Diceros bicornis minor: one gene and its partners. The protein of the gene in region 3 interacts with the protein of the main gene of each other region in a pairwise test. Links are inferred from orthologs where the notes say so. Each region holds a gene or a part of one and is shown on either strand. Other genes may lie near its edges.

Region 1 (7,937 bases), on a different chromosome or scaffold from region 3:
AATAGGGAGAAGCAACGCAGCTTCAACTCCTCTGAGTAATTCAAGCATACTTTTCCTCTTGGTTGAGAGGAAACATTAACTTTTTCTTTCAACGGGCACAAATGCAGGGAAAACAGCGGAGTTTCCACAGGAAATAAGAGAAGCCAGAAATGAAACTATTCCAAAAACTATCTGAGTCTGTCTGCTTGGAACAGAAGGATCTTGGAAGAAGGGAAATTTATTACAGGGATTATTCTTTCCTTCCTAGGTCTGTATGTAGCCTTCACATTTCGGAAAACACACGCACACTAGATGTTATTAGGCCTTTACCATAGCTTTCGATATTTGCCAAACATACTGAGGTCATGTATAAGTTAATCTAAGTATTTTTAAGCACTGGGTAAGTCTGTTTGCCAACAATTAGTCCATCTGATGAAACATTTTAAAAAGAGAGAACATGAGAGAGGATAACAAGCCTGGCCAAGACATAACTTTCAGGCACTACTACTGTTCATATTTCTAAAGAGAAATCATGGCATATGGATAAACCACAGACTAGGACTTTCTTAGTCAACTCTGGGTCACAAGGTCACATCACACCGAGAAAAGTCTCTCTCATCACACCGAGAAAGAAAAGTCTCTCTCATCACATCTTCAATTTTCTATCAGGAACAAAAGGCTAGAGGGAGCTCAAGTTGTAGGAGTAGCAAACCACTGTCATCTCCAGGGAACCCATAATACAAAATGCCTAGCCCCAACAAAAGTCCCGAGAGTGCTGTCTCAAATTCCATCTCCAATTTCCACTAAATATTTCAGATATAGGAAAAACATTTGGAGTTTACTTGTTAATAATTTTTCTACAGTAGTGCCCCCTTATTCACAGGGGAAACGTTCCAAGACCCCCAGTGGGTGCCTGAAATCACGGGTAGTACCGAACCCCATTTGTACTATTTTTCCCTAACTAACGGTCTAACAGGCCGGTAGGTACACACAGTGGATACCTGGACAAAGCGATAATTCACGTGCTAGGTGGGACAGAGCTGGACCACTCCAGATTTCATCACTCAGAACTGCTTATAATTTAAAACTTACAAATTGTTTATTTCTGGAATTTTCCATTTAATATTTTCCCACCATGGGTGACCACGAATAACTGAAACCCGGGAAAAGAAACCACGGACAAGAGGGGACTACCATACTTTGTTGAAAATACATCCGCCTCATGGTAAAAGAGTCACATAATTAAAGAAGAAAAAAATCACAAGAAACTTAGAAGTCAGATGTTATCTTTCACATTGAAAGGTATTAATACCAAAAACTCTATCAATGTATTTCATCAAAACCATTAAAGCCAAAAAAGCAAGACCTATTCCACTTTCTCTCAGCAACGAATGAGTTAAACTGTGCTAGAAGCTGCACTAACAGTACCTGCTGCAGGAGGAACATTCCGTGACTCACACATTCCCCTTGGATTTAAAATTAAAGAGCTGGTTTCTTTGGGAAGAAAAAAGACAGAAAAACTTCTAAATTATCCCTTTAAACTTCAAGTCCAATAAATTAAAAACCATTTTGCCTCCTTGTCTCAATTTCAGTCAATTCAATTTTTTTTTTTCAAAAATCATGAGTCATATCAAACATCTCGTACCCATGAAATTTACTCCCTGAAATTCATTCAATTAAGATTTACTGGGCCGGCCAGGTGGCGCAAGCAGTTAAGTGCTCGTGCTCCGCTGCGGTGGCCTGGGGTTCGCAGGTTCGGATCCCAGGCGCACACCAACACACTGCTTGTCAAGCCATGCTGTGGTGGCGTCCCATATGAAGTAGAGGAAGATGGGCACAGATGTTAGCCCAGGGCCAGTCTTCCTCAGCAAAAAAAAAGAGGAGGATTGGCAGATGTTAGCACAGGGCTGATCTCCTCGTAAAAAAAAAAAGATTTACTGAGTGACCACAACTTAACAAGCACCATCTGAATTCAACACAGACGCTGAATTTTAACTTTACCTCCTCCTAGCATTTTCATATTTGTACTCGTAAATGTAGCATATTTTTCTCTCCACTTGAAAAAAAAGAGCAGCGAACACATTTCACAGAGCGCAGCTATTACGTCAATGAAATCTGATGAAAGAGAAAAATGAGTGTTCTGTACCCCAACGCCTCCTTCCTGACAACGCTTTTAAATGGTTTACAATTGTTTAAACATCGACTAGTCTAAATATCAGACTAAGTCCTTACATGCTAAATCTTTATTTGCTATGGTAATAGAATAAATCCTCAGACAATGCCAAAGTTTTAAGCCAATCATTTCACACTGCTCCCCGTTAACTTTTCATTAACCCAGCTAACAAGAAATTGGCAGGCTGAGATTTCGGATCGTCTTCTTTTCCAGGCTCTCCCTCTGGCGGAGGCAGGAAAAAAGGGGCATGGCAGAGCAAGAGGAGCACAAACAAGGGGCATGGTCCACTGCAAATACGACAGACAACGCCGCATAAGAGCGAGTTACTAAGAAGCAGATAGCAAAAGATGACTAGTTTTGCATTTTCAGCCGTCGGACTCTTGCAGAATTCAGCACTGCCTGCCCGACGCAACCGCATTAAGCAAACTATCAAACATCACCCAGAACCTTCCGCTTCAACAGCCCGGAGACTTCATGCAACCTCAGCAATGACACTGCTGGGCAGTGCGAGGGGCAGGGTAACGCGCTCCGAGTGAGGAGGCCCACAGAGGGCAAGGCGAGCTCGTAAAAAGCTCCACGAGTTTCCCAAGCTGGGACCTGAACACGAACACGAAGGCCCCACTCCCGGCGCCGCCGCAGAGCCGCTGCTCCCCAGCGCGCCCCTGTAAAAGGGGTCCTCTGCTCGCCTCCCGCCTCGTCCCCCGACCGAGCGCTCTCGCTTCAGAGCCCCCGCAAGGACGGCCGCGGTCTCAGGCCCTCCGCCCGCTCGAGACGAGACCAGCCACCACCCGTCTCTGACCTGTCCCCGCGGGGTCCGAGCCGGCAGCGCGGAGCCTCCATCCCCGCCGCCCAGAAGGAGACAACCACATCCAGACCCCGGGACGCCGCTGCTAGGGTGGCAAGCCTGGCCGGCAGCCAGGCCCCGCCCCTGGCAACGCACCCCGCACTGTCGCCGCCGCCCATTGGCCCTCGTGCCGCCGCTCCTGTCTCATTGGCTGTGGCCGCCGCCCGGCGCTGCGGGAGGGTTTCTAGGGGCGGAGGAACCGGGAGGCGAGGCGCCTGCGCCGGAGCGGGGCTGACGCGCTGGGGCTCCGGCCCTGGAGCGCGGCGCCGGGAAGGGGCTGAGGGCCGAGTGTTGGGTCCCGCTCGGCCGCGTGGGCTCCCGCGGCGAGGCAGCCAGTCCGTCGGAGGGGCCGCCTACCCCCGCTAGCCGCCACGCGCGGAGCGGCGTCCCCAATCCTCTGCCGTTTGTACTGAGACCACCCAGAGCGCTTCCCGAGGGCTGTAATGTTAGGGCTTGCAGATCTCTGCCCGCTCCCTCACAGACCGGCCCCTTCCCTGACACCAGGGCCTTCCTGGGAGCCACACTTGTCCCCTCTGCAGCAGTCACACCCAATTAAATGCATCTTTCATATAGTTACCTGGTCTTGCACTCAACTGCACAAAACTCCTTCAGCCTCCCCACTCCAGCCCAGGCTTTTAGAGCATTCTAGACCTTCTCCACGGACTCTCCTGACAATCTTTTCCATGACCTCTCTCTACAGCCTATGGACCGTCTTCAAACATCCATACTCCATGACGAGATCCGCTGTGTAAATCTGTGCTATCGTTTCCAGTAAATCTTGTCCCCAACCATCACTTCTTTTCTCACCACCAACTTACATACAGCGTTATGGTCCCCACAAAACATCCGGACAGTTACTGCACACTGACCTCAGTTTATAGCATTCCGACGTCAAAGTTGTTTCCACATTGGTTTTGAATTTCTAAGAGGCATGGAACTTGGCACAAGCGAGAAGAGCAGAGCACGGCACTCACTGGGCCAGCCTCCACCCACCATGCGACCCTGAGCGTGGTTCACCATCTGTGTTTCAAATTCCCGTCCGTAAAACAAACACAATAATCCCTGCTTTCTGGCTCGGCTGGACCTGACAGAGTGGGTTCTTAAAGCTGAATGAATGGAGTTGAATGAAATGCTATTTGTATCGATGAAAGGCCAGTGGAAACATTTTGTTGACTGGGTAGTCCCGCATTAATTACAATAAGAAGCACTGTTCTCTGAAAAGTTTCCACATTTATTTACATACATTTCAAACAGTTACTGCAAGAAATCATTTTCCCACCCTATTTAATATTTAGAGATTTCTTCGGTTGGAAATAAAAATCAAAACACAGCAAACCTAAGTAACTTACTCATGTCCCCTTTACCTGCCCTGATCCCACTGTATTCACTAAACAGGGCTTGCTGCCCCTTCTTCAATCTTCTCCTTTCAGCAGAGGAGCCAAGGTTGCAGAGGCGGCAGCTCAACTATAAAAAGTCACAGAATTTGCTTAGATTTTTTCCATCCATCAGGTCATAGAGGAAGCTGCCACTGAGCCTGACGCAGAGTCAGTACTCAAAACTGTGGAATGAATTGGTTTGCATGAGGTGACTAAAGGATTAACGAGTAGTGGCTAAAGGAAACCATTAGGAAAGACCCTCTGTGGAGGGGGCAGTCAGAAGCAGGGTTCTCTAAAAAGTTCCTGCAACCATTTGTTTACATACATTTTAAACAGTTACTACAAGATACGTTAAAATTTGAAACAGTTAATACAAGAAAAATATGAAGTAAACAGTTTATGACACTAAGAACTGTTTATGACAAGATATTTAAAAAAGTAAATCTGGGAATTGAATTCCCTATGACTCCAGGGGTCTAGTTAAAATATCTTTTTCTATTGATGTTATTGGTATTATTTCCACTTTATTCTATCGATGTGCTATCTTGTGAGCCAGAAAAGCGACTTGAGCAACTCTGTGAAAACCAGCAATCAATGTCTTGAGATTACTGTTATCTGAGAAACCCAGTCACTTTTTCACAAGGAACTGGCTTTTGCTCAGCTTCCCTCTCTCCTTGAGGTAAGTAAACAGGTGCCCTCGTCTCCTCCACGTGACCTTTATCCCATACTTCTCCTCAGGAGTGTCTTTAACCAGAACAGGCCCAGGCTCTGGGCTCTTGGGAGTACTAGTGTGAAGGGAGCAGCTTGGAAGGCTGTCTTCCCTCTGATCTGGGGGAATGGGCCCCTCCTTCACAGAAGATGACTCTGGGGTCCGGATTTCAGGTGGAATGAACACATAAGGCAAGTTTTGAAGTGCGTGTGATGACAGCTCCCCACAGCTCTGGGGACTGAGCATTGGAATGAAGGGCCTTCTGGAAATGTCCTTTTCTGATTGATTGGGGTATCCCCCGGTTAAGGGGATCCCAAGTGTGGCTGAACTGGAAGAAGACTGTGGACTCTCAAATGTTAGATGTGGAAACTTGGAGGTGGTAGATTTTCGACTTGAATGTCTTGCCTGGTCTCTGCGACGACGTTTCCGGTTGGCTGGGAACGAGTTTTCTGCTGTTGTATCAAACTGAGGTGATACCTAAGGATGAAAAAAAAAAAAAAAAAAAAAAAGCTGAGGAGAGCCAACTACCAAGTACAAACCTCAGGAAGGAAACTACACCCAACGTCCAGAATCCCAAATGGGGGCCTACTATAGTAATGGACACAAAACAAAAACACCTGTCTAATGTGATAGATAGATAAGGATATGAGCTTTGGGCAAGTTATTTAATCTCTCTGGCTTTCAGTTTCCTCATGTGTAAGAAAGGGGACAATGCCTCTTTCACTTTATCACACCATATGGCTGCAACTTAACTATCTTTAAACTTTGAGGGCAGCGACCAGCCTTATTCACCATTGATCCCCAGCACCTAGCAGAGTGCCTGACACAGGAAAGGACCCAGTAATGAATGAATGGCTGAATGCAAGAATAGGGAGTGAGACCGCGTATGCAAAATAACTAGCATAGGATCTAGCACATAATGAATTCTCAACAAATTTCATTCCTCTTCTCATCCCCAGGATTCTAACATTTAAGTCTCTTCTACAATCCTGAAGCAAATATTATGGCTTTTCCAAGCAACCCCGACAAGTTACATTTATTAAGCACTCTTAGGCAGAGTTTATGCTTTTGTCTGGCTCTTTTGCTATTCTACTTCCCTGACTTATAGGAGCTATGTTCTCTCTCCAGGGCTTTTAACAAAATATGACATATGCCATTTCTGTGGCTCTTTTTCAAGGTTCAGACTATTAAACAGTAAATAGAGTACCTACCCAAATACTTTACCTCTCACGTGAAGCTCAGGGAACAATCCCATTTTGTACTTGTTCTGCCACTTATCTGGCTTTCTCGCCCAGCTAGTGGGAGGTGAAACTTTGATACTGAACTCTCTCAGAGGAATGTGGCGGGAGACTCCAATTCCAACCACACCATGCCTCAGTTTGAACTTAGAAAAGAAGATATACCAGAGAAGATGGCTGACGATGACAGAAAGAGTATATTATCTCCTTGTCCCTGCCCCCATGAATCTTCTTATTCTTTGGAGGCCCTGGTTCAAGGGGCAGAAGAGTCAGCATTGTGAGAAACCTAACAGAGTAAAGGTCACAGTAAGAATCCATGGCCTACCCAGGAAGTGACGGTGTTGTGGTCAATGGGCTTGCTGGGCACCTGCCTAGTGTAGGTGATGGGAAGCTGTGGAGATCCATAGCGGTGTTTGGGGCTCTCCAGTGGCTGATGGTGGAATAGCAGCTGGGCTTTCTGGCAACTTGGGCGGCGTTTTTTTCTGGGAGGCATCAAGAAGTGAATGAAGAGCAGTTAGTAACCACATGATGCTGGTTGTAGTCAGGTCGGGGGAGTGGCTCCAATTCCAACCCATGCCTGCAGAGAAGAAACAAAAGCTGGGAGAAAGTAATTCTGACGATTCCCCAGCTTTTTCTCATACCCTGCCAGCGAGTTCTACTCTCAACTACCACCCCTACCTCAAGACTGTGGGGAGCACAGCTTCCTATATACAGCGAGTAAAAACACAGTGGTTCACATTCAACAGCATTCGCTCAATGGACATTTATCGAGCAAGTGTTAAGCACCATGCTGGGTGTCGGGAAGTTAAAGATGAATAACCATTTATTCTACGATCATTTATTGAGTGCCAACCACTTGTAGAAACACAGAGGTCAGACTGTCCCTGTCTTCAAAGAGCTGAGAGTCTAGCAGAGGGAGACAGACAATTACAACAATGGGAAGAATGCTTCCACTCACCCCAGGGGAGGCTTTCTAGAGAGGGTGATACCTGACCTGGGTATGGAAGAGCTAGGGAAAGCCAAAAGGCAGGGAGAGCATCCAGGCTGAGGAGCAGCACATACAAAGGCACAGAGACAGGAAGGAACACTGTGAATTCAGGGAATCACAGACTCCATGCAGCTGGACACAGGATACGAAAAGACAAATGGCAAGAATTGAGGCTGGACATGGTGTCAGGGTCAGGTCAGAAAAACCAGGTGTGCTATATGGTTTGGGCTTTAGCCTAAGTAGTCACTGAAGACTTTCAAGCAGAAGGATATGATCACACTTGGATTTTTAAAAATTTTTCAACCTAGATAATTTTGAACACACACCAAAGTGGACTGAATAATATAATGAACCCCCATGTACCTATCACCTAGCTCCAAGAACCATCAACCCATGGCCAATCCTGACCCCTCCAAACCCCTATCCACTTCCCCACCCCTATATTGTTTTGAAGAAAATATGATATTCCCAGTCATTATATCATTCCCATTAACACAACTAATACATATACATATATATACCTTAATATTATTAAATATCCAGAAGTGTTCAAATTTTCAATTGTATCATAAATGGTTTTTTGTTTGTGTTTGTCTTTTAGACAGATTGTCCTGGCAACAGTGTGAAAGG
Region 2 (7,480 bases), on a different chromosome or scaffold from region 3:
AAACACTACATAACAAAAAGCAAACAAATAAGGTACCTGAGTACTGAATATGGAGAGGTTGCATTTTTTACCCTTTATGATGAAAATTTTCAAAGCAAATAGTCCAATAAAGTCCAATATACTTTCCACCCAGATCCAATAGCATTTTTTATTTTTCCTTTGATGAAATGTCTAGAAGTAAATTACATATATTGTGGCATTCGCTTTTAACATTTCAGTTTGCACCTCCAAATAATCAATAACATTGTCTTGCATAACTGCATTATCACAACAAAAATATTAGCGATAACTCTGTTAATATTTTTGACCAAATAAAAAAAAACACAGAAAGTGCACAGATTATATTTCCATGTCATTATAGCCACTAAAAAAAGATTTTTAAAGCAACTGTGAGGAGACTGTAAGAAATGATAATACATGCAACTATAGTGCAACCTAAAATCTATTACAGATAGGCAAAAACTAGATGCTTTCTGCTAAGAATAATAAAGAAGTTTAAAATAAATTATTTTATTGACTGTTGAATCCAAAGCTATTCCTAAAGTTCTCATTTCCTGCCATATTCCCACCAGTATCATGGACTGGAAGACTGGGGATAATCGGCTTCAGAAATCTAAACTCATTTGTCCCAGTACCTCCCCTCAGACACACCTCATACTGGTAGCTCTGGGACAGGGTCCCGGTACCGCTGACGTCCACCAGGTGGCCCGGAAAGTGGCCCTCAGGCACCGAGCAGCGACCCAGCGAGGCGGCCCTGCTCCTCCCGCACAGCCGCACCGCGATGAACGCGAGCACCGAGAAGAGGAAGAGCGACGACACCGCGGCCAGGGCGATGACCAAGTAGACGGTGAGCGGGTCGGCCTGCGCCTGCTCGGCCGCCGCCTCCGGCAGCGGCAGGTAGGGCTGCGAGAAGCCGTCCACCAGCAGCACGTGCAGCGTGACGCTGGCCGAGCGCGGCGGCTCGCCGTTGTCCTTGACCAGCACCAGCAGCCTGTGCTTGGGCGCGTCGCGCTCGCTCGGCGGCCTGGCCGTGCGCACCTCGCCGTTGTGCGCCCACACGCCGAACAGCCCGGGCTCCGTGGCCTTGAGCAGCTGGTACGACAGCCAGGCGTTCTGGCCCGAGTCGCCATCCACCGCCACCACCTTGCTCACCAAGTAGCCCGCCTCGGCCGCCCTGGGCACCAGCTCGGTGCAGGGCGCCGAGCCGTTCTGCAGCGGGTAGAGCACGAAGGGCGAGTTGTCGTTGTCGTCCAGCACCAGCACGCGCACCAGCGCCTGGCTGCTCCGCGCCGGCGAGCCTCGGTCTGTGGCGCCCACGCCGAACTCGAAGGCCTGCAGGGCCTCGTAGTCCAGGGACCTCAGGGCGAACAGGTGCCCGTTGTCCGCGTTGATGGACACGAGGGAGGCGAGGGGCAGGTGCGGGTCGTGGGGCGGCAGCAGCGAGTAGGTGACCTGGGCGTTGGCGCCTGCGTCTGCGTCTGTGGCGCTGACGCTGCCGATGTGCAGGGCGGGGCTGTTGTTCTCGCGGACCCGCAGGGTGTAGGAGGTTTGGGTGAAGGCGGGGGCGTTGTCATTGACGTCGGAGACCAGCACGGTTATGCTGTGCTCTGTTTTCAGCCTGGGTGTCCCCGAGTCGGTGACAGTGATGGTGATGTTGTACTCGGCTCTCATCTCTCTGTCCAGTGCTTTTTCAGAAACCAGAGTAAAAAAGTTCTTGAAGGTTGGTTTCAGGAAAAAGGGGAGGTCATCTTGAATAGAGCAAACTATCCTCCCGTTGTCCCCAGCGTCTTGATCTCGGACACTAAAAAGAGCGACAAGGGTCTCTGAGGAGTTCTCTGGAATTATCTTTGTAATTGACGACATGGTCACTTCTGGTGGATTGTCATTTATATCTATTACTTTAACCAGAAGGGTGCATTCTTCTGAAAGACCCCCGCCATCTGTTGCCTGAATATTTATAGTGTATGACTGTATTACTTCAAAATCCAGGCGTGATCTCAAATGTACTTCCCCAGATATTGGATTGATTTCAAATGTTTTACGAATATCTTCTGATGCATGCAACAATGTGTAAGATATTTCCCCATAATTTCCTGCATCCAAATCCTTAGCAGAGATGGTGATAATCCAGGAGCCAACGGGTGTGTCCTCCAGGACCTGCACCTCATAGAGCCTCTGAGGAAATTCAGGGGCGTTGTCATTGACGTCCAAGACCTTGATGAGAACCAAAGTTGTCCCAGTCCTGGGTGGGGATCCACCATCCAGTGCTGTGAGTGTTAATCTGAGCTCCAGCTTATCCTCGTGATCCAACGCTCTGTCCAGGACCAGTTCTGGGTATATTTTTCCATCACTGCTGTCTCGAACTTTAATGTAGAAGTGAGAATTGGGGCTAACTGTGTAGTTTTGGAGACTATTGCTTCCTATGTCCAAATCTTGGGCACTCTCCATTAGGAATGTGGTTCCGATAGTGGTACTTTCTGATATTTTAATAAGTATTTCCTTGTCCAGGAATGCAGGGGAGTGATCATTTATATCTTTGACATGCAGCTCAGCCCGAAAAAACTGTAAAGGGTTTTCCAATACCACCTGAAAATGCAGCACACAGGGCTCGGTGGAGCCACACAGCTCTTCTCGGTCCAGTTTCTCATTTAGGACCAAATCCCCAGTCAGCAAATCGAGGTGCAAATGCTTTTTATTATCCTCAGACACTACCCGGGCTTCCCTTGAGGACAGCTCCTCCACCCCAAGCCCCAGATCTTTTGCCAGATTGGCCACAAAAGAGCCAACTTCTGTTTCCTCTGCCACAGAATAGCTCACAGATTCAAGACCCGCCTGAGACAATCCCAGCAAAACAAAGAGAATCAGGACTTGCCTTTTCTGCAGAGCGAGCGCCCCTCTGATCGCCATGCTTCCTTCAGGCAACTTCTTTTGTGGAAAAATTTAAATTCAGCGCCAATTTTGGAAGCTGAAGCCCTGATTTTTTACTGAGAACCCCCTGGTGGGTAAATAGCCCTCCAGCAGCTCTGTAGAAGAAGCTCCTTTAGTACCTTCCTTTTCAGTGGGTTGGATGTTCTCTCTTCCCCTGAATAATGGAGCCCACAGTGTTGACCATGCATCATTTTCATCTTATCCTGCAGCGCCACCATGTGTCTCTATGAATCCTTTTTCAGTAAGAATTTTTTTCTCTTTGAACAAGTAATTCATGAATACATCTGGAGTATTTTAAAGCAAATCCCAGAATCATGTGTTTTTACCTCTAAATATTTCACTAAGTATTTCTAATAGACAAAGTCTTTTAAAATATAACTTTTAAAATATAACTATGATACCACAATCGACAAATTTACCAATAATTCCTTGATACAATTTATACACAGTCTGTGTTTGGTTTTCCCCAAAATGTTTTCTACTGTTGATTTGTTTGAATCAGGATCCAAAGAAACTCCATATAGTACATTTAATTAGCTATGTTTTGAATGCCTGTCAAGAAGAATCCATTAAAATGTTCTGAACTGAAGAAGTAATATTTTATTTAGGCCATTTCTTGAGTAATTGCAAATATATTCTCTCCTCCACTCTTGTAAATACTTGTTGAATCAGTTAATTATAGTTAGTAATGTCATTTCTTTTTTCACCAATATATTTTTAAAACTACACATGTAAGGACATGACATAAATAAGATAGAGATAATCCTTTATGGAGCTCACAGGCTAGAAAATTTGGCAGACAAGTAACTAAAATATGTCACAATGTTTTCATAGGTAAAGAGTAATATAGAAATACCTAGAAGGGACATCTTGTACCTAGGAGGCAGCATTGTGTAGTGGTTATGGACATGGATTCTGGAACCAAAATATCTACATTAGAATCCTAGTTCTGCCACTCACTATCTTCAGACTTGGGCAAGTTATGTACCTCTGTTTCCTTACCTGTAAAATAGGGACAATAATGGTATTTACCTCCTAGGATTATTATCGTAGGAATCTAATGAGTTAATATTTACAAAGTGGCTAGTAAGTGCTAGTTAAGTGTCTGTTAAAAATAAAACAAATAAAATCTAACACAGATTTTTGGACATCATTGAAAGCTTTCCTAAGGTAGTAAACTATAAGTTGTGATCTGAAGGAGCTAGCCAGGAGAAGGAGGAGTGTTTCAGACAGACATTTTTTTGTTTGTTTGTTTGTTTTATTGATGTTTTAATAGTTTTTAACGTTGTGAAATTTTGAGTTGTACATTTTTGTGTGTCCATCACCATATATATGTCTCCCTTCACCCCTTGTGCCCACCCCCACCCCCATTGCCCCTGGTAACCACAATACAGTTTTCTCTGTCCGTGAGTTGGTTTATATTCCACATGTGAGTGAGATCATACAGTGTTTGTCTTTCTCTTTCTGACTTACTTCACTTAACATAATACCCTCCAGGCCCATCCATGTTCTTGCAAATGGATGATTTTGTCTTTTTTTATGGCTGAGTAGTATTCCATTGTATATATATATACCACATTTTCTTGATCCAATCGTCAGTTGAGGGACACTTAGGTTGCGTCCACTTCTTGGCTATAGTGAATAATGCTGCAATGAACATAGGGGTGCATAAGCCTCTTTGGATTGTTGATTTCAGGTTCGTTGGCTAGATTCTCAGTAGTGGGATGGCTGGATCATAGGGCATCTCTATTTTTAATTCTTTGAGGAATCTCCATACCGTTTTCCATAGAGGCTGCACCAGTTTGCATTCCCACCAGCTGTGTATGAGGGTTCCTGTTTCTCCACATCCTCTCCAACATTTGTTGTTTTTTGTCTTGGTGATTATAGCCGTTCTAACGGGCGTGAGGTGATATCTTAGTGTTGTTTTGATTTGCATTTCCCTGATGATTAGTGATGTTGAACATCTTTTCATGTGCCTATTGGCCATCTGTATATCTTCTTTGGAGAAGTGTTTGTTCATTTCCTCTGCCCATTTTTTGATAGGGTTGTTTGTTTTCTTGTTGTTCAGTTGTGTGTGTTCTTTATATATTATGGAGATCAACCAATTGTCAGATATATGTTTTGCAAATGTTTTCTCCCAGCTGGTGGGTTGTCTGTTCATCTTGATTCTGGTTTCATTTGTCTTGTAGAAGCTCTTTAATCTGATAAAGTCCCACTTGTTTGTTTTTTCTTTAGTTTCCCTAGTGTGGGTAGGCATGTCATCTGAAAAGATTCCTTTATGACGAATGTCAAATAGTGTGTTGCCTATATTTTCTTCTATGAGTTTTATAGTTTCAGGTCTCACCTTCAGGTCTTTGATCCATTTTGAGTTAATTTTTGTGAATGGTGATAGCAGAAGGTCCACTTTCATTCTTTTGCATGGGGCTGTCCAGTTTTCCCAACACCATTTATTGAAGAGACTTTCCTTTCTCCATTGTATGTTCTTAGCTCCTTTGTCAAAATTAGCTGTCTGTATATGTGTGGTTTTATTTCTGGGCTTTCAATTCTGTTCCATTGATCTGTATGTCTGTTTTTGTACCAGTACCATGCTGTTTTGATTACTATTGCTTTGTAGTATGTTTTGAAGTCAGGGATTGTGATGCCTCCTGCTTTGTTCTTTTTTCTTAGGATTGCTTTAGCTATTCGGGGGCTTTTGTTGCCACATATGAATTTTAGTATTCTTTTTTCTATTTCTGTGAAGAATGTCCTTGGGATTCTGACTGGGATTGCATTGACTCTGTAGATTGCTTTAGGTAATATAGACATTTTAACTATGTTTATTCTTCCAATACATGTGCATGGGATGTCTTTCCATTTCTTTATGTCATCATCGATTTCTTTCAATAACGTCTTGTAGTTTTCATTGTATAGGTCTTTCACCTCCTTGGTAAGATTTATTCCTAGATAGTTTATTCTTTTTGATGCAATTGTAAATGGTATTATCTTTTTGAGCTCTCTTTCTGTTAGTTCGTTATTAGCATACAGAAATGCAACTGATTTTTGTAGATTGATTTTGTACCCTGCGACTTTGCTATAGTTTTTGATTATTTCTAATAGTTTTCCAACGGATTCTTTAGAGTTTTCTATATATAAAATCATGTCATCTGCAAATAGTGAGAGTTTCACTTCTTCGTTACCTATTTGGATTCCTTTTATTCCTTTTTCTTGCCTAATTGCTCTGGCCAAAACCTCCAGTACTATGTTGAACAGGAGTGGTGAGAGTGGGCAGCCCTGCCTCGTTCCTGTTCTCAGAGGAATGGCTTTCAGTCAGACAGACATTTTGAGGAACGGAGAAAAGTTCAGTACGCCCTGAACTTTAAACCATGAAAGGGGAGAACTTAAAAATGAGACTGGGAAAAAATCAAGGTGAGGACATAAATGATTATATAGGTTATATCATGCACTTTATAATTTATCCTAAGGGCAATTAAAACACAATGTGGGATTTTAAGCATTTGCTGACATGATCACATCCGCATTTTTGAAAAATCAGTTTGGCCAAAGTATGGAGACTCAATTTCAGGGGAATGACTAGAATCAGAGAGACCAGTTAGGGGATGATGGTAGCCTGGGTGAGGTGATGCTAGTGTAGATGGGGAGAAGAGGGATGATTAGAAAGATATTTAGGAGATAAAAGTATTTAAGTCCAGGTGATTGATAGGCTGCATTGGGAGAAAAAGAGGAAAGACTCAAGGATGATTAACACACATCTGGATGGGCAACTGGATGGCTACTGGTGTCATTCACTGAGACAGAACACAGAAAAGAAACAAAACAAAATTGAAGTGGAAAAAGATGAAGTCAGTTTTGGACATGCTGATATTGAGGTAAGTACCTATGGGCTATGTATGTGTGTGTGTGTGTGCATATGCACATGCCTGTGTATATTTGCATGTGTGTACATATATAACAGAAGCACAGGATATAAATCTGGGCTGCAGATATGGACTTTGGGATTCATTAGCATGTACATGGTGATTGAAACCATGAGAGCTCTAAGATAACCAAGCTAAAGTGTATCAAGTAAGGATAGAAGAGGCTTAGCACAGAACTCTGAGAAACACCTTCATGAGAAGAGAGAGGAAAAGAAGTATCTTTTAAAAGACGAGGAAGGCCCAGAGTGCAGAATCATGAAACCAAAAGCAAAAACCATTTCAAGGAGATGATGAAGATCAACAGTAGCAAATGCTTCAGAAAATTCGAGAAAAATAATTATTAAAATTATCCAGGGGATTCAAGAAGATGATCATTGTGGAGGATTCTGATAGATGTCTGCCAAAATCTGTTCCCTTTCTTTACATAATAGAACTGTACCCAGGCACATGGCTACTCAGATAGATTGCCTGTCCCAGCCTCCCCTGTAGTGAAGTGTGGCCAAGTGAATTAAGTTCTCACAGATTGTGCATAGAACTTTTGTTTGCCTCTCCTGGGTCTGAAATGGAAGACATCTGGATGTGTCCCCTCCCTCCCAGCCAGCTAGAACCCAGTTGTGGCAGTGACCCAGCTACAGTCA
Region 3 (6,947 bases):
TTGTAGGTAAAATCAGGGTTCCTAGGCTCTAACTAAAAGCTATGTGCCATCTCGTGAATAAAGTGTATGTGCTTTAGCGCAAGCTCTTAGTTTTTCAGAAACCACCATCTTTGCCCCCTTACTGAGAGCTAGTGCCAGAAACAGGGCTGGCTCTCACCTGTGTTCTGGATTTGAGGTTGCCAGACAACTGCAGTGCTACGGCATCAGACATGATCCTTCTTGTTCAGGGGCTTCCTCCCACTATTAAAGACTAGTCATTTTCAAACAGTGTGCAGCCAAGCTGCAGGGTCCAATGGCATTGCCTTGGGCTGGGGAAGGGGGCAGACGGGGGAGGGGGAGGTTGGGCTCTGTCCCTAACACCTGACTGCAGTTAAATCAGTATGTCTGTAAATTGAGCTTCAAAATACTCCTATCAACCTCGTCTGATCTTACTTCTCTGGGAGGTAGGAAGGACAGAATTTTTCTCCCCATTTCACTGATATGGCCCAAAGACCCAGCGATCTGCTATGTTAATTGAGGGATAATGAAGTGCCCCAGGTGCAAGCCCAAGCACTGGAGTCAACATGTCAGTTTAAGCCCAGCTGTGTGACCTTGGGCAAGTTACTTAAGCCCTCTGTGCCTCAACTTCCTCCTCTTAGTAACAGGGATAAGGATAGCATCTACTTCATCACTTTAAATGAGTAGATAGATACACGGTCCTGAGAACAGCATCTGGCACATCTGTAGTGCTCAGTAGTCTTAGTTTTCCTCATGGACTGAGCTGGGCTGAGCCTCAGGAGGAAGTGTTAGAATTCAGAGCCCTGGGAGCAGTGATGCTGACAGTGACCTTCTGGGGCATCTGCCTAGGCTCAGTGTGAGAGGCTCCCACTGGCCACTTCTCTCCCCCTCCCTGCTCTGGCCTTCCCCAGGGAAGCTGTACCCCTAACCCAGGGCTAAGGAGTCAGCAATGGAGGGGAGGAGGCATCCGGAGGCCATGAAGCCCGCAGCGGCTCAGAGGTGGGGCAAGCCTGGGCGGGCTGCCACTCAGGAAGCTACCACAGGTAGGCTGCTTTCTTGCTGCTGCTGCCGCCACACCCTGCTCCCTCATATACCATCCCCTGCTGCCCAGATCCTGCCATGAGGCTGCTCCTTGCCCCAGCTCTGCCCCGGGGAAGATGGGCCCAGATGTCCTGGAGGTAAGACACTTAGGATCTCCTGGCCTGCCCTGGGCTACGGAGCACCCTGGATTTCCAGGCCCTACTTTAACTACACACTTAAAGTCAGAGGTGTGACGTGGTGACTCACCACCCCCCTGTCTTCCCCCACTGCAGCCACCCACCCACACCTGCCAGCCTGATACTTGGGATGGGCCGAGCCAGGTCTGCCTCCATCAGATTCTCCAGGCTGGTTCCAGCCCCTCTTTGAGATGGGGAAATGGAGGCCCAGAGAGGCACAGGGTGCCCTCCCCAGGCAGCCCACTGCCCACTGGGCAATCAGTGCCAGCGAGAAGCAGGCCACTCACACACTGGCCATAGGCTTCAAGCAGAGCGTGGACCGGAAGAGAAGGAAGGCTCATTAGCTCTCATCCTCCTGGCCGTAGGCCCCAGGAAAGGGCCCAGGGAGGGCAGGCTGTTGGCTGAGGCTGAGCTGGCTGAGCAGAGGGCCAAGGAGTCCTCTGCGGGGCTGGAGGAGGGGCACCCTCCGGACAGCCACATTCCTCAACTCTAACCAGAGAGGTCTCCACTTTCCCAGTGAGCCATTAGGGAAAGCCAGAGCTTGAGGAGCAGGCGGGAAGGTTGAGAGACAGCTGGAAAAAAGCTGAGGGGATCTGGGGCTTGCAGGCCGTGTGGCCTGCGCCAAGCCATTTCACCTCTGTGAGCCCGCCAGGGGCCATAATTTCACGGGGAAAGGACTTGATTTGTGCCTGTGCTGAATTTAAGAAAGCAAGCAAGGAATCACCCAGCCCTGCTGCCTCCTCAGAGGACCTCTCAGGTCTTCAAGGAAGAAGGGTGGGTGAGGGGATGAGAATTACCATTTGGCATGCCAGCAAGTTGCCAGGACTTGATGACGTTAGATCGCCTTGTTTAATCCTTCCATTCAGTTGGTATGTTTATTAATATTTATCTCTACTATATAGATGGAGAAAATGAAACTCAGAGAGGTAAAATGACTTGTCCAGACTCTAAATAGCAGAGCCAAGATCCAAGATCAAGTTTGTCTGGTCCCCAAACCCACGACCCCCGCCTTCCTTCGCCTCAAACTCCCACCCATACATTAGACTCCTCTAAAAAGATCCTGCTGTGGAGAGAGGGTCACCCAGCCCTGGGAGCACAGAGGAGATCCCTCATCCACCGTGGTGAGTTTGCAGAGAAATCAGTGGCCCAGGCTAGGACCCCCTTTATCTTACAACTTAGAAAGGACAGTAGCCCAGGTCACCTCCAAGACAAAAATCTTCCAAGACAAAAAACCAACCACTATTTTTTATAAGAAAACCCCCTTCTTGGAGCCACATCCCCATGAACTGCCACAGGAAATTTCAGCCAAGCTGCCCGCCTCCCCCGGGGCCCATTTCACTTGTTCAAAGCCCCAGCCGTCTTCACTCACCCAAAAGGCATCTCTGAACTGAAGCTGGGGCATCATCCTCAGGCGTCTGCCACGGCAAAGCTCACTCTCCTGCCACAGGCAGGGCTGAACAGGGCCAGGAGCCAGGCGCACCGTCCCAGACCCGGCAGGGCTGGCCCAGGCCCCCCCTCCCTGGCCGGCGCCGTCTGCAGTGCCTCAGAAGGCAGCTGCAAGCCAGGGACGCGCTGCTGCGGGAGGAAGAGGACTCAACTTATTTTGTTTGGGGCTAGAATCAGCAGCAAAATGAGGAAGGCGGGGTGCCCAGGGATGGGAGGGCGGGTCCCGGTGTCCGGCCCGGCCCCTGGCCAGCCCCGTGGGGATGAGGACACAGCCCAGGCTGCAGGACTGAGAGGAGTGGCCAGCGGGAGAGGCAGACTGGTGCAGAGGCCAGGTGGGCAGGCAGCCTGAGGCCTGAGCAGGAAGGTTTGTGCAACCTCCTCCGGGGCAGGCACTAGGGCCATCGCCCACAGGAAGTAGAGCTGCTGTGCTCCCCGGCGCAGCCCCGCCTGCCACCTGCCACCCTGCTGCCTGCCTCCTCCACTTGCCCCTTTCTCATGTCCTAGCTGGCCGTTCTCAGAGGCCATCAACTTATGGAGCCTGAGGCCCAGGGAAGGTGTGGGCAAGGAGGGAATCAGGAACCCAGGTGCTGTTGCCCACCACCCAGCCCCACTCCAGACCAGGCCCAGAGATGCTAGACTCTCCACCCCTCACCCACCCATTTGGGAGGGGCTTACCCAGGCCCAGGACATCCCTCTCATTCATCAAACCCTGGCTGCTCAGGGCCCCAAACCATGTCGTACCCTCAAGGAGCTCACGGTCTGGGGGCAGACACAGCTGGGGGCTGGGGGCTGTGGGAGCACAGAGGTGGGATGAGCCGGTAACTAACCAAGGGAGAACAGCATGAGGCCTGATGGGCACTGCTCCCCTCCCCCCAGCTCCAGAGTAGACACTCTGGGGCAAGAAGCCACGCTCTGAAGTTGGAGTCTTCAGGCTGGAAGAATGTGGTTGGACCGAGAGAGACAGGATTATAAAGGCATTGGAAACCCAAACTGAGGCCCCAGTTTTTGTTTTGTCTGGGCCTTACCCTTCAGTGGTTGAGGGACCTTAATCGACCCTCCAACTCTCTGAGCCTCAGTTTCCCCATCTGCCAGCCCCCAGTCTTTGGGAAGGAGACAGTGTTGAGAACATTACTGGAATTTCTGTTTGGTTGGGCAGGTGCTGGGGTCACTGTCTGGTATCTCCTTGGGAAGATCCCTGGGCTGGAGCCCCAGACACAGCTCTGAGGAGCTAGGGCCTGCCCACTCAGCAGAAGGTGCCGGCAGGGGGGCCTGACCCCAGGGTGGGTTGGCAAGAAGGGATGAGTCAGGCTTGTCCACAAATCACCACCCTTGCCACTGCCTCCCCTACCATTGACGGAGGGTGGTAAGACGGATGAGAGCTGCTGCAGAAGAGAGCTAAGCTCCCAAGTGCCAGTTATGTGTGCCCAGGGTTACAGATGGGGCACACCCAAGCTTCTGAAATAGCTGCCCAAGACAGAACACATCAGGGAGAATTGCAGACCAGTGGGGCTGCCCCTGGGAGCCCCCTACCTCCAGAATCCTCGGGTTTGAGTTAATACACACCCTCAGCATTGAAGGCACTCCAGTTGGTTTTTCTGTTGCTTGCAGCTGAAGACAGCTAATGGTGTAAATATCACCTTAAACCCAGAAGGCTAAGTATTGAGGCTGTACCTCATCCCCATGGCATAACCACTTCTGATTGCACTGACTCAGCCTCCCTGGCCTCAGTTTTGTGACCTATCAAATGGGGTGATGCCTCTAGTTCTGGAGGCAGACTAGAAACCCCCTGTTAATAGAAAGCTCCCACTCTCTTATTAGCCAGCCCTGGTGGTCTAGTGGTTAAGATTCGTCGCTCTCACTTCTGTGGCCCAGATTTGTTTCCCTGTCAAGGAACCACACCACCTGTCTGCCGGTTGTCATACTGTTGCGGCTGCGTGTTGCTGTGATGCTGAAAGCTATGCCACTAGTATTTCAAATACCAGCAGGGTCACCCCTGGTGGACAGGTTTCAGCGGAGCTTCCAGACTAAGACAGACTAGGAAGAAGGACCTGGCCACCCACTTGTGAAAAAATTGGCCATGAAAACCCCATGAATAGCAGCAGAGCATTGTCTGACATAGTGCTGGAAGGTGAGAGGAAGGCACAAAAAGACCAGGCAGGGTTCTGCTCTGCTGTACACAGGGTCACTAGGAGTTAAAATTCACTCAGTGGTACTAACAGCAACAAACCCTCTTATTGGCAGAAAATTTCATGGCCAGGCCCCCTCCCCTGCCTCTCCAGGGGTTCTTTTCATCATCCCCCTGAATTTCCACTTCAAACAGGACTTTACCCTCTCCCCAAAGGTACCCTTCCCATCCCTACCTCCACACCTTTGCCCCTTGGTCCCCCAGCCTCCCTCCTGGCATGCCTTCCTTGATCTTCCTGACCTGGGTAAATTCTCCCATCCCTCAAGGCCCCCACATATGAGGCCTTCATTTCCCAACTGCTCTGGTCCAGCCAGGGCAGCCCCAGACGGATGGCATGCTGGTTGTGGGCTGGAGCAATTGGGGAAGGAGTAATGGGAGGCATCTAAGGAGACTCTCAAGTTCTCCGCCACAGAGAAATCTGCCTCCTCCCCTCCCCACCACCCCAGCTTATGCAGCTCCCAAGCCTGTGCCACCAGAACCGCCAGTCAGCTTGGGAGCACTTGCCAAGTGTTGGGAGCACCATTAAGCTTTCTACGTGGGTCACCACGCTTAGCCCTCACCCCATCCTGTGGGGTACACACTATCATCATTCCCACTTCACAGAGGAGCAAACTAGTGATTAAAGAGTTTATGTGACTCACCTAAGGCCTGGCGGCCAGTAAGCAGAGGGCTGGGCTTCGGACCCAGATCTGTCTGATGCCAAAGCCCACGCATGCTGTTAACCTCCACAGCTATCTTTTACCGACAGCCCTCTCTTAACAGTGGGTTTCCCCCTTTCTTTCTCCAGTTCTGCCTCCAGAACATCTCACCCTGATCTACAAGTGGAAAAACTGAGTCCAGGAAGGCTGTTGGGGCTGGCGGTGCTTTTGGGTGAGAGTCCAGCCCTGGTACGTGGTCTTCCAAGTTCACTGTGTTATTTGCACCCGCTAAGGATGCTTTGGCTGCAAGGAACACACAACCAGAGGGTCTGGCATGGAGGAAGTGTGTTATCACCCACACAAGGGATCTGGATGCAGTGTGGCCTCCGGGTGGGGTACATTGGGTCCCCAGCTCAGTTTCTCTGTGATTTTCCTCCATCTCCTATCTTCCTCCTCAGGCTGCAGCAGCTCTGGCTTACAACTCCACACACAGCTACATCTACAGGAAGAGAAGGGACACTTCTCCTTGTGTCTCATTTTCTCCAAAGTCCTCCCCACCCCAGCCTCCCAGGAGACTTTCCCTTGTGTCTCGTTGGCCAGAAGTGAGTCACATACTCATACTTCACCATTATTGGCCTCCCCTGATCCCTTGATTGGGGTGTTATGGATGTTGGGAGCCAACCACCGTGACCACCACAGCCTTCTCTCAACCAGGTCCACAAACACTGCTGGGCACTAACTCCTGCCAGGTCCTGCTGGAGCTAGGGCTCAGAGAGGATATAGACCTAGTCTCCGCCCTGAGGGGTCCACAGACAGGTTCTAGAAAGATCTCTCCGGATGCGAAGTGGCTCAGAGGAGGTGAGACCGGAAGAGGGTGTTGTAATAACTCTGAGAGAGGGATGAGGCCTGGATGGGGCAACTGGGGTGGGGGGGATGGGTTGGTGGGACATCGGGGAGGTGGAGGAGCAGGATGGAGACATCTGAGTGTCCCTCCCAGAAAAGGGAACTGTTCTCCAGCCTCCCTCCTTCACCAGCCCCCCGGGGAGGGAAATCCAGTCCTGAAAATCATAGCTTTTTAACGACTGTTCCAGCTGCTTCAAAACACAATTTGCCTTGAGGTCTGGGCTGCTGCACCTCAGGCCAGGCTGTCACTCTTTTTTTAAGGGGGCGTCCCCCTGTGCAGGCAGAGCCCCATCCTGTTTTGCATGGGATTTGAACACATCTGCTTGAAGAATTCAAAAAGTAGTAGGTCCAAGGATTGAGAATAAAATGTGAAATCAGTTTTTACAACATCAATCACCACAGCCAGTCACCTGGCAGGGCTCAGCTCCTGAAGCCACTTCATCCATTCTTTTGAGCCAAATAAGCAACAAAAACAATAGTGCTAGCCACCACTAAGGGAGTATTAATACCTGCAGGGCCTGCATGTATTTTACATGCTTGATCTCATCGATTGCTCGCTAC

The links.
Region 1: the proteins of PSTPIP1 (region 3) and TULP3 interact in binary tests that used the Homo sapiens proteins (3 or more experiments, as listed by UniProt). The two-hybrid records come from large-scale screens. The link is inferred for Diceros bicornis minor from reciprocal best matches to the Homo sapiens genes PSTPIP1 and TULP3.
Region 2: the proteins of PSTPIP1 (region 3) and PCDHB14 interact in binary tests that used the Homo sapiens proteins (3 or more experiments, as listed by UniProt). The two-hybrid records come from large-scale screens. The link is inferred for Diceros bicornis minor from reciprocal best matches to the Homo sapiens genes PSTPIP1 and PCDHB14.

Annotation. Positions count from the first base shown.
Region 1 is NC_080756.1:58,499,149-58,507,085, forward strand, and holds the start of TULP3 (tubby-related protein 3), read right to left. Parts: upstream 3,044-7,937; 5' UTR 2,993-3,043; coding exon 2,952-2,992; intron 1-2,951. Other genes in the region: RHNO1 (RAD9, HUS1, RAD1-interacting nuclear orphan protein 1), read right to left, coding at 5,001-5,558, 6,645-6,812. UniProt on the Homo sapiens protein: Negative regulator of the Shh signaling transduction pathway: recruited to primary cilia via association with the IFT complex A (IFT-A) and is required for recruitment of G protein-coupled receptor GPR161 to cilia, a promoter of PKA-dependent basal repression machinery in Shh signaling.
Region 2 is NC_080740.1:59,408,016-59,415,495, reverse strand, and holds PCDHB14 (protocadherin beta-14), read right to left. Parts: upstream 3,044-7,480; 5' UTR 2,908-3,043; coding exon 511-2,907; 3' UTR 296-510; downstream 1-295. UniProt on the Homo sapiens protein: Potential calcium-dependent cell-adhesion protein. May be involved in the establishment and maintenance of specific neuronal connections in the brain.
Region 3 is NC_080744.1:69,298,246-69,305,192, forward strand, and holds the start of PSTPIP1 (proline-serine-threonine phosphatase-interacting protein 1), read right to left. Parts: upstream 3,017-6,947; 5' UTR 2,620-3,016; coding exon 2,584-2,619; intron 2,109-2,583; exon of another isoform or gene 2,015-2,108; coding exon of another isoform or gene 2,012-2,014; intron 1-2,011. UniProt on the Homo sapiens protein: Involved in regulation of the actin cytoskeleton. May regulate WAS actin-bundling activity. Bridges the interaction between ABL1 and PTPN18 leading to ABL1 dephosphorylation.